2 linked regions of the Drosophila melanogaster genome follow. The protein of the gene in region 2 interacts with the protein of the main gene of each other region in a pairwise test. Each region holds a gene or a part of one and is shown on either strand. Other genes may lie near its edges.

The links. The genes of interacting proteins can lie anywhere in the genome.
Region 1: the proteins of CG3078 (region 2) and SdhBL interact in a two-hybrid assay, tested with the Drosophila melanogaster proteins (one large-scale study listed by BioGRID).

Annotation. Positions count from the first base shown.
Region 1 is NC_004354.4:18,892,307-18,896,057, reverse strand, and holds the start of SdhBL (succinate dehydrogenase, subunit B (iron-sulfur)-like), read right to left. Parts: upstream 1,613-3,751; 5' UTR 1,397-1,612; coding exon 1,165-1,396; intron 1,034-1,164; coding exon 160-1,033; intron 104-159; coding exon 1-103. Other genes in the region: Flacc (Fl(2)d-associated complex component), read left to right, coding at 2,606-3,299, 3,373-3,751.
Region 2 is NC_004354.4:2,258,078-2,261,828, reverse strand, and holds the start of CG3078 (uncharacterized protein), read left to right. Parts: upstream 1-1,965; 5' UTR 1,966-2,108; intron 2,109-3,087; 5' UTR 3,088-3,354; coding exon 3,355-3,501; intron 3,502-3,562; coding exon 3,563-3,751. Other genes in the region: temp (tempura), read left to right, coding at 1-363, 414-1,135.

The sequences.
Region 1 (3,751 bases), about 17 Mb from region 2:
GAGGTGCTTGGGGCACGTGTTGGTGCAGTTCATGATCGAGTGGCAGCGGTATAGCTTCCAGGGGTCCTTGAGAAAGTCCAGTCGCTGCTCGGTGGCCTCGTCCCTGCAAAGCAAATCTTAGCACACTGGGGAAACTGGCAGCAACATGGCCTCACTCACCTGGAATCAATGACCCAGCGATAGGCCTGCATGAGGACGGCGGGACCCAGATACTTATTGCTGTTCCACCAGTATGATGGACAGGAGGTCTGGCAGCAGGCGCACAGGATGCACTCGTACAGCCCGTCCAGCACCAGACGATCGTCCACGGACTGCAGATACTGTGCCGTTCCAGCTTCCCGCTTCAGATCCTTGCGCTGCAGCCACGGCTGGATGGAGCGGTACTGATCGTAGAACTGGCTCATGTCCGGCACCAAATCCCGCACCACATACAGGTGCGGCAGTGGATAGATGCGGCAGCACTTGCTCTCATTCTGGTCGATGGACGACACGCAGGCCAAGGTGTTTGTTCCATTGATGTTCATCGCGCAGGAGCCGCAGATGCCCTCGCGACAGGAGCGCCTAAAGGTCAGCGTGGGGTCCATCTCGTTCTTGATCTTGATCAGGGCATCCAGCACCATGGCGCCGCACTGCTCCAGGTCCACCTCGTAGGTCTGCGTCTGCGGCTGATCCCCGGGCTTCCAGCGGTAGATCTCGAAGGTCTTCAATCGCGGCTTCTTCGCTTTCACTGGGGGTGCAGATTTAGCAGGCGGAGGAGGTGGTGGAGGTGGAGGCGTTGCTGGTGCGTTGCCCGAAGCTGGCTTTCCGGTGGACGCTCCTCCGGGCTTGGCGGATCCGGCGGCGGCGGCAGCTGCTCCTCCAGGCTTGGCGGCTCCGGCGGGGGCTGCTCCTCCGGGCTTGGCGGCTCCGGCGGGGGCTGCTCCTCCCGGCTTGGCGGCTCCGGCGGGGGCTGCTCCTCCGGAGTACTGTCGTTTTGTGGCGATTCCTCCGGCGGCTGATCCTCCGGTGGCTGATCCTCTGAGCCCTCTTCCTCCTTTAATGAATATAGAAATTTCAGTTAAGCATATCAATAAGTGCAGGTGTCATTTATGAAATGTCATTATGACAAAGTCATTGACAACCCAGAAAATTGTGGAATCAGAAAACTTTTCACTTAGAACTAACCTGCTCCTTGTCCACCTCCTTGGAGGCTGGAGTGGGTGCACCGGGGTACCAGGGATACGGCGGATACTGGGGTGGCGGCAGCCAGCGCTGGTCCGGGTATCGATAGGGTGGACATAGGCGCCGCAGGACGGGAAACGGGTTCGGACACATCCCTGTTGGCCAACACGTAATTTCTAAACAGCCACGTGCTCCGTTTATTCAGCAGCCGAGGCTGCCGGCGCAACAAATTCATCGGTTTTCGAGCGAATGAATGAGACTTTAAGTTAAAATGTGTACTTATAAAAATATATGTGTTTTTTTTTTTTTTTTGTTGAGAGAGAATGTGTGCCGAGGCGATGAGGTGTTGAGGTGTTGAGGTGTTGAAGTGTCGAACTGTGTAGCAAAACTGAGGAGAAGCCGGTGAAGTGCCCGTAATACGACTTGACACTAGAGGCATAGCCAGCTGGATTTGAAAATCTTTTCGAAATGAAAAGTTCAGTTTAACTGAGTAGTAGAACAGGCTGCTTTATACAATGTTTTGGATGCGTGGAATTTAAATCAACTAAAGAGAGTTCCTCGACTATAAGATACCCGTTACTCAGCTAGTGGATGTGAGAACGCGAAATTTTATCATTTTCTGGGCAAATCGATAGAAATTTACAAGATTAATAAAAATGCGAAAAAAGATCAACAAACTTGCGCTACGTCTTTGTCTCTAGAATCTGTATGCTGGATCTCAACCTTCTAGGTACGGACATGGCGGACAGACGGACATGACTAGATCGACTCCTGATCAAGAATATATATACTGTACATGGTCGGAAACGCCTTCTTCTGACTGCTACATACTTTTCAACAAATTTAGGGTACCCTTTTACTCTTCGAGTAACGGGTATAAAAATGGATAACAAGTCAGATTTGAATCCCCGTTGCTGAACCGGTAAATTGATATAGAAATTGTAATTCAATCCAAAACCGAACTCATTTTAAGCAGAAATTGTTACAAAAATACAATATATTAATATAAATACAAGTATTAATTAATATTATTAATTTTAATAATATTTTTAATGTTAAATTAATATTTATTTATAGTTAAAGGCACTTAATTATTTAATTATATTTTATTATAATAATGTGATACAATAATAAACAATATTTTCAAACTTATACCGATCGATATGTACCGCCGTGCTGACTGTAATCGATGGTCGCGATGCCCTGCCAATCGACTATCGATAACAACAAACACGAAGATATAGAGGAAAATAGAGAAGAAGAAGAGTTAAAGAAAACGCCAACAAAATAGACAACAAGGCAAGTCCGCGCCTCCGAACAAGGACATTATACCACAAGACACGCTGCAACTAGTTATAAGCCGCATAGCCGTGCTGATTTTCGACCGGAGTACGAAAAGAAAGCAGCCAAAACGGAGGCGCGCAGGCTAGCGGAGATCGCGGCGATGGAGAAGAAGGCCAAGGAGTCGCTGCGCCGCTACAAGAAGGCCGCCCGTCACAGTGCGACGCACTCGAGCAGCTCGGACTCCACCTCGGACTCCGACAGCGGGAGCAGCTCGTACAGCAGCACGGACAGCGAGCAGGGCGTGGGCGGCGTCGGCGTGGGGGTGGGCGTACCTGGTGGCGCCGGTGGTCCCGGCGGCAGTGGCAGCGTCCACGGTCATCCCCATACCCACGGCCATGGGCATCATCCGCGCTCCGCGGAGCGTCATCATCGCAAAAAGAAGAGCTCACGGCGCGGCGGCAGCTCGTCCGGAGATGAACCATCGTCGTCGCGCCGCAAGCGAGACAAACGGGATCATGTGCAAAAGAAGCTGGTGGCCAAGCGAAATCATATCAAACGGAAACTGAAGGAAGCGCGCCTTAAGAAACGGGCGGCCGCCGCCCTCAGTGGTCACGTCCATCGTTCCCTGTCGCCGACGACGCGAGCCAAGCTAAAGAAGCTGGCCGAGCGAAAGAGGCTACGGGCTGCCAGCAAGGAGCAACGGGAGCGGGACAAGCTGCGCGTCGTCCAACGAGACAGAGAGCGAGACCATCATCGATTGGGCAGCAGTAGGAGTCCGCCGAGCAGCAGCACTACCACCACCACCAAGATTCGCATCCATCAGGACATCGTGGGTAAGCGGCAAAAGAGTCCAGGTAACTATCAGATACTACATATAGTTATGTCTAGGCTCAACCCACTAACCCATTAATTTTGCTTGACTTTAAGGTTTAGGTTCTGGTCTTGGAGGCGGCAGCAGCAGCTCATCCTCGCGAATGCATCACCAACTGATGTCGCGAGAGAAGATCATCATCCAGACCCGCGCACGTGGACGTACTCCGTCCCTGGAACGGGAGCGGGAAAGGGAGCGCGAGCGAGAACGAGAAAGAGAGCGCGAACGCCACGATCTCTCATTGCGGGAGCGAGATCGTCGGGATCGGGAGCGCGAGCGTGCGGAACGGGAGGCAGCCAGGGATAAGGAGCGCGCTGAGGCCTTGGCTCGCTGCCAAGAACGTCAACGGGAGCGGGAACGCTTGGCTCGCGAAAAGTTGCGTCGTCAGGAGGAAGAGGAAGGTGGTAAACGCGGTGGTCCCGGTCGAGACTTGGA
Region 2 (3,751 bases):
AAGCCAACTGCAACAAATCGCCGGTTGTGCATGTGGAGCACAATCTGGGCCTGGAATCGTGGTGTGCCCAGCATGTCTACGACCACGCCCACCGCACCCTCATCTCCCATCGCCGTCAAACCACGGCGCAACAGCTGCGGACGCTGCAGCAGCAGCAGCAGAGCGACTCCCTGGCCAAATACCTAAACGTGGCTCTGCTGATTAATCCCGATGTGACCACCTTTTGGCACATCCGCCGTCAGCTGGTGCAAAAGAATCGGCTGAGCATCAACAAGGAGCTGCAGTTCTCCGCACTCGTGCTCTCAATCAAACCGAAGTCCAATGAAGCATTCGCCTACCGCCGTTGGCTGTACTCATTTCAAAGTAAGTGGACGTCGGCAACTGGGGATCCCATTTCATTCCATTATTTCCAGGTGCCGATGCTATTGACTGGCCCAATGAGATCGGGATATGCGAAAGGGCCGCCGATAGATGCGCCAGCAACTATCACGCCTGGTCGCACCGCCAGTGGATCCTTCAGAACGGCCCATGCCTGCTGCAATCGGAACTGCTACGCACGGAGAAGTTTATGCGGAAGCACATCAGTGACTACAGCTGCTACCACTACCGCCAAGTGCTCCTGAGTCGTGCATATGAGCTCAGTTTTGCCCTTCCCAAGGATTCCGGAGCCAGTGGTTCGTCTACGTTGGCCAGTCTGCAGCATCTAATGACAAGCTATGGCCTGGAATGTGAAGCCAACGCTGAGGATCTGCTGGGTCTCTTGCTACCACATGTGGATCTGAGTTCCGTGAGCAAGCAAAGGCTAATATCATTTCTTTACTGCTGCAACGTTGCCGCCAACGATATGCGTCTGTGTGCCGAGCAGCGCTTGATGTACGGATCGCGGGATTGCTTCGAGCTGCATCGCCGTGCGGCACTCAAGTTCATCGTGGAGCAGTGCGTGCGCCTGCAAATGGGCTTGCCCAATGGCCAACTGTTACCAGTGGCGTCAGGCGATCTGCGTTCGCATTTGGGCAACTTTGACTTTGAAGATAATCCGTTTTTAAGTGCCGTACGGCGCGAGGAGTCCACCCTGGGTGGTAAGCACCGGCGGTGGTGCAATCTTCACCTCAGCTTTGGATATCCAGCGGACTAGACAGCGCGACCTGATAAAGCTCAAATCAATCTACCCCAATAGAATTACTCACTCCCGGCCTTTCCGTTTGCCCATCCGTTCTGAAATGTGGCAAGTGTATAAAGACGTGTGTTTTATTTCCTATCTAATTATCGTCCCAAAAATACAGAAACTTGTGCAAGACAAATTGTTAAAGAGTAAAATACTAGAAAGGAAGACGATTCAAAACGGATTTGGAAACGGAAATGCCTCTATTCTACTCTACTATAAATGTGCGATCCAAAGACAAAGTTCAACTAGCCCGATATGACAACGGATCTCACTGGTCCGCCAATTGCATTTCGATATCTATTAGCGTTACCTGTTCGTTTCTGTTCTTAATCTGATCCGGGCACGATTTGTTAGCCCTTTGTTCAGAAGTAAAACTTAACCGATTATCGCCATGCCATGCACGTGTTTGTTGTTAGCCAATTGCAGTTAGTTTTTAAATAAATCCAAATCATAGACGACGCCTTTTTTATGCAGTTTTGAACGTCGAGCCAGTTCGGCTCGTTCATTTCGAGAATATCGATTCGGTAATGGCCGTAATGAGCACTCAAAATGCATTGTATGGGGGTTTCTTTTGCGCAGAGCAGTTGTAATATGGGATGGTATCGTTTTGTGGCGGTGCAGCCACAGCCATGACATCCCATCCCTTCCCCGAGTGAACTGGGGATTGTGGGGTAACGAGTATCGATTGCGCATGCCTGGGATGCGAGGTGGGATGTGCGAGATGCTGCCGAAGGCCTGAGATGACAACAATTTCAGCAGCGGACTCAGAATCGCCAGGCCGTAATCCCTACCAGCTTTTCAGTGTGTTTCTGGAGCAGTTCGCGTGCGGCGGTGTTTTGTGGAGTGTTGAGTGGCGAAAGTGCTGGCTTCTTTGAAGGCTTACAAACAATTTGTTTCCGACTCGTCGAAAAAAAGTGCATTCCAGTCAACCGAGAAATCAAAAGTAATAAACAAAGTATATTATTCGATTTTTTTTTTTAGTTTGCTGAACGGGGTTCCGTTTGTGGATACATGTGTACAGGCCAAGAGGATTTCAAGGGAGCATTGCATCGAGAGTGTGTGTGCGCTTTTCTGTGCCCGTCTTTGTTTGGTTTTAAAATATTCATATTCGTTTTCCATCCGCCCTCTTTGCATTTTTTATAACTCCCACCCACTTTTCCTGGCCCAAGGGGCGTGGGCCCAAAACTACGCCTCCATCGCAGTTCACTTCATGGGTGTGTGGTGTTCGTGAGGGGTGGGGGTTAGTTTATGATGTTTATGAGTTGATTATGGGCTGCAAAGTACTGTGCCATTGTCTTCGGGACCTGTTCCCTCCGGGCATCCCCAGGATCTTGTCCTGCACCATCCCGTCGTGTCCTGGAAATATACCTCGGAATACCTGACCCTGGGGCACCATCGGCTGCACATGTGTAGATAACACAAAATGGACACACCTGATGATTTTGTGCCAGTGTGGGGGGTGGGGTGTGTGTGCGAAGTTCCTACGGCCAAGGGAGCTATACTCGCGGCTGCACTAATAGCAGCGGCTAATAGGCACATTATTGAGTTGCCAAGTAATCCTACTAGTGGAAACTCAATCTAATTGGTGAGCATTAAGGTGCCACTTCCTTAGGACTTCAATCAGATTAGGATTAGCTAGCCTAGAAGCTTATTATTCCCACCATCCTATTTTTGCGACCGCGAGTGCCAGTGAATGTGCCAGAATGTAGTGAGTAAGTAACGGTAACGGCAACGGAAAGAACATGTGCGCATACGTAGGGCCTATGGCCCACATAAGTATGCAGTGCACGTACGGCCAGGTGTATGTGTGTGTGTGTGCGAGTAACGGTTTCCAGGTGCAGGTGTCAACTCGATAAGCAGCCGATAGATGGCGCTGCCGTTCAGGCCTCGCAACTTTTTCATTTCCTGTTTCCACTTCACAGTCATTCCGCTGCAGGAGAACAATATTTGCGTTTTGACACAGCCTTATACGCGGAATTGGGGGCGTGGCAGGTCGGCGGCGGACAATGAACCCGCCTACGCAGCAAGGACAATAATTGCAGACTGGATTGGAATGGGATGCCCGTGGAGCAGCAGCATGAGTTCGCCGTTTTGGAGCGATGGCAGTACTGGATTCGCAGTGGCCCCACAATCCACATAACTCGCACTACGGGCGCTAGGTTTTGATAAGTTGGCAATAATCGCCGGAAATGGGCAGTCTGCCGAATCTTCACGAGCTGGAGGAGGCGGAGCGCAAGCGGGAGAAGCGACGGGAGTACGAACTTCTGCTGGAGCAGCGGGCTCGGGACACCAGTCGCGAGCGGGAGCGTCTCTCCGCGTTTGCTCAGCAGCGCAAGGTGAGATCGCCTGAGTAGATCCCCCCTCCTTACGACTTATGTATTTTTCTACTCCACTCAGCAATCGTCGTATAATGCTTACATAATGGCTGGTCTGGGGATTGGTGGCGGATCCTTGAGCCTCAATGCCACCTCAGGAACTGCAACAGGCAACGGAGAGCTGCTCGGTGGCAATGGGACAACTGGCGGAAAGGGTCCGAACCAGGCAGTGGGCCCAGCTTCTGGATTGGCCACCAGCTCGGGAGCTCCG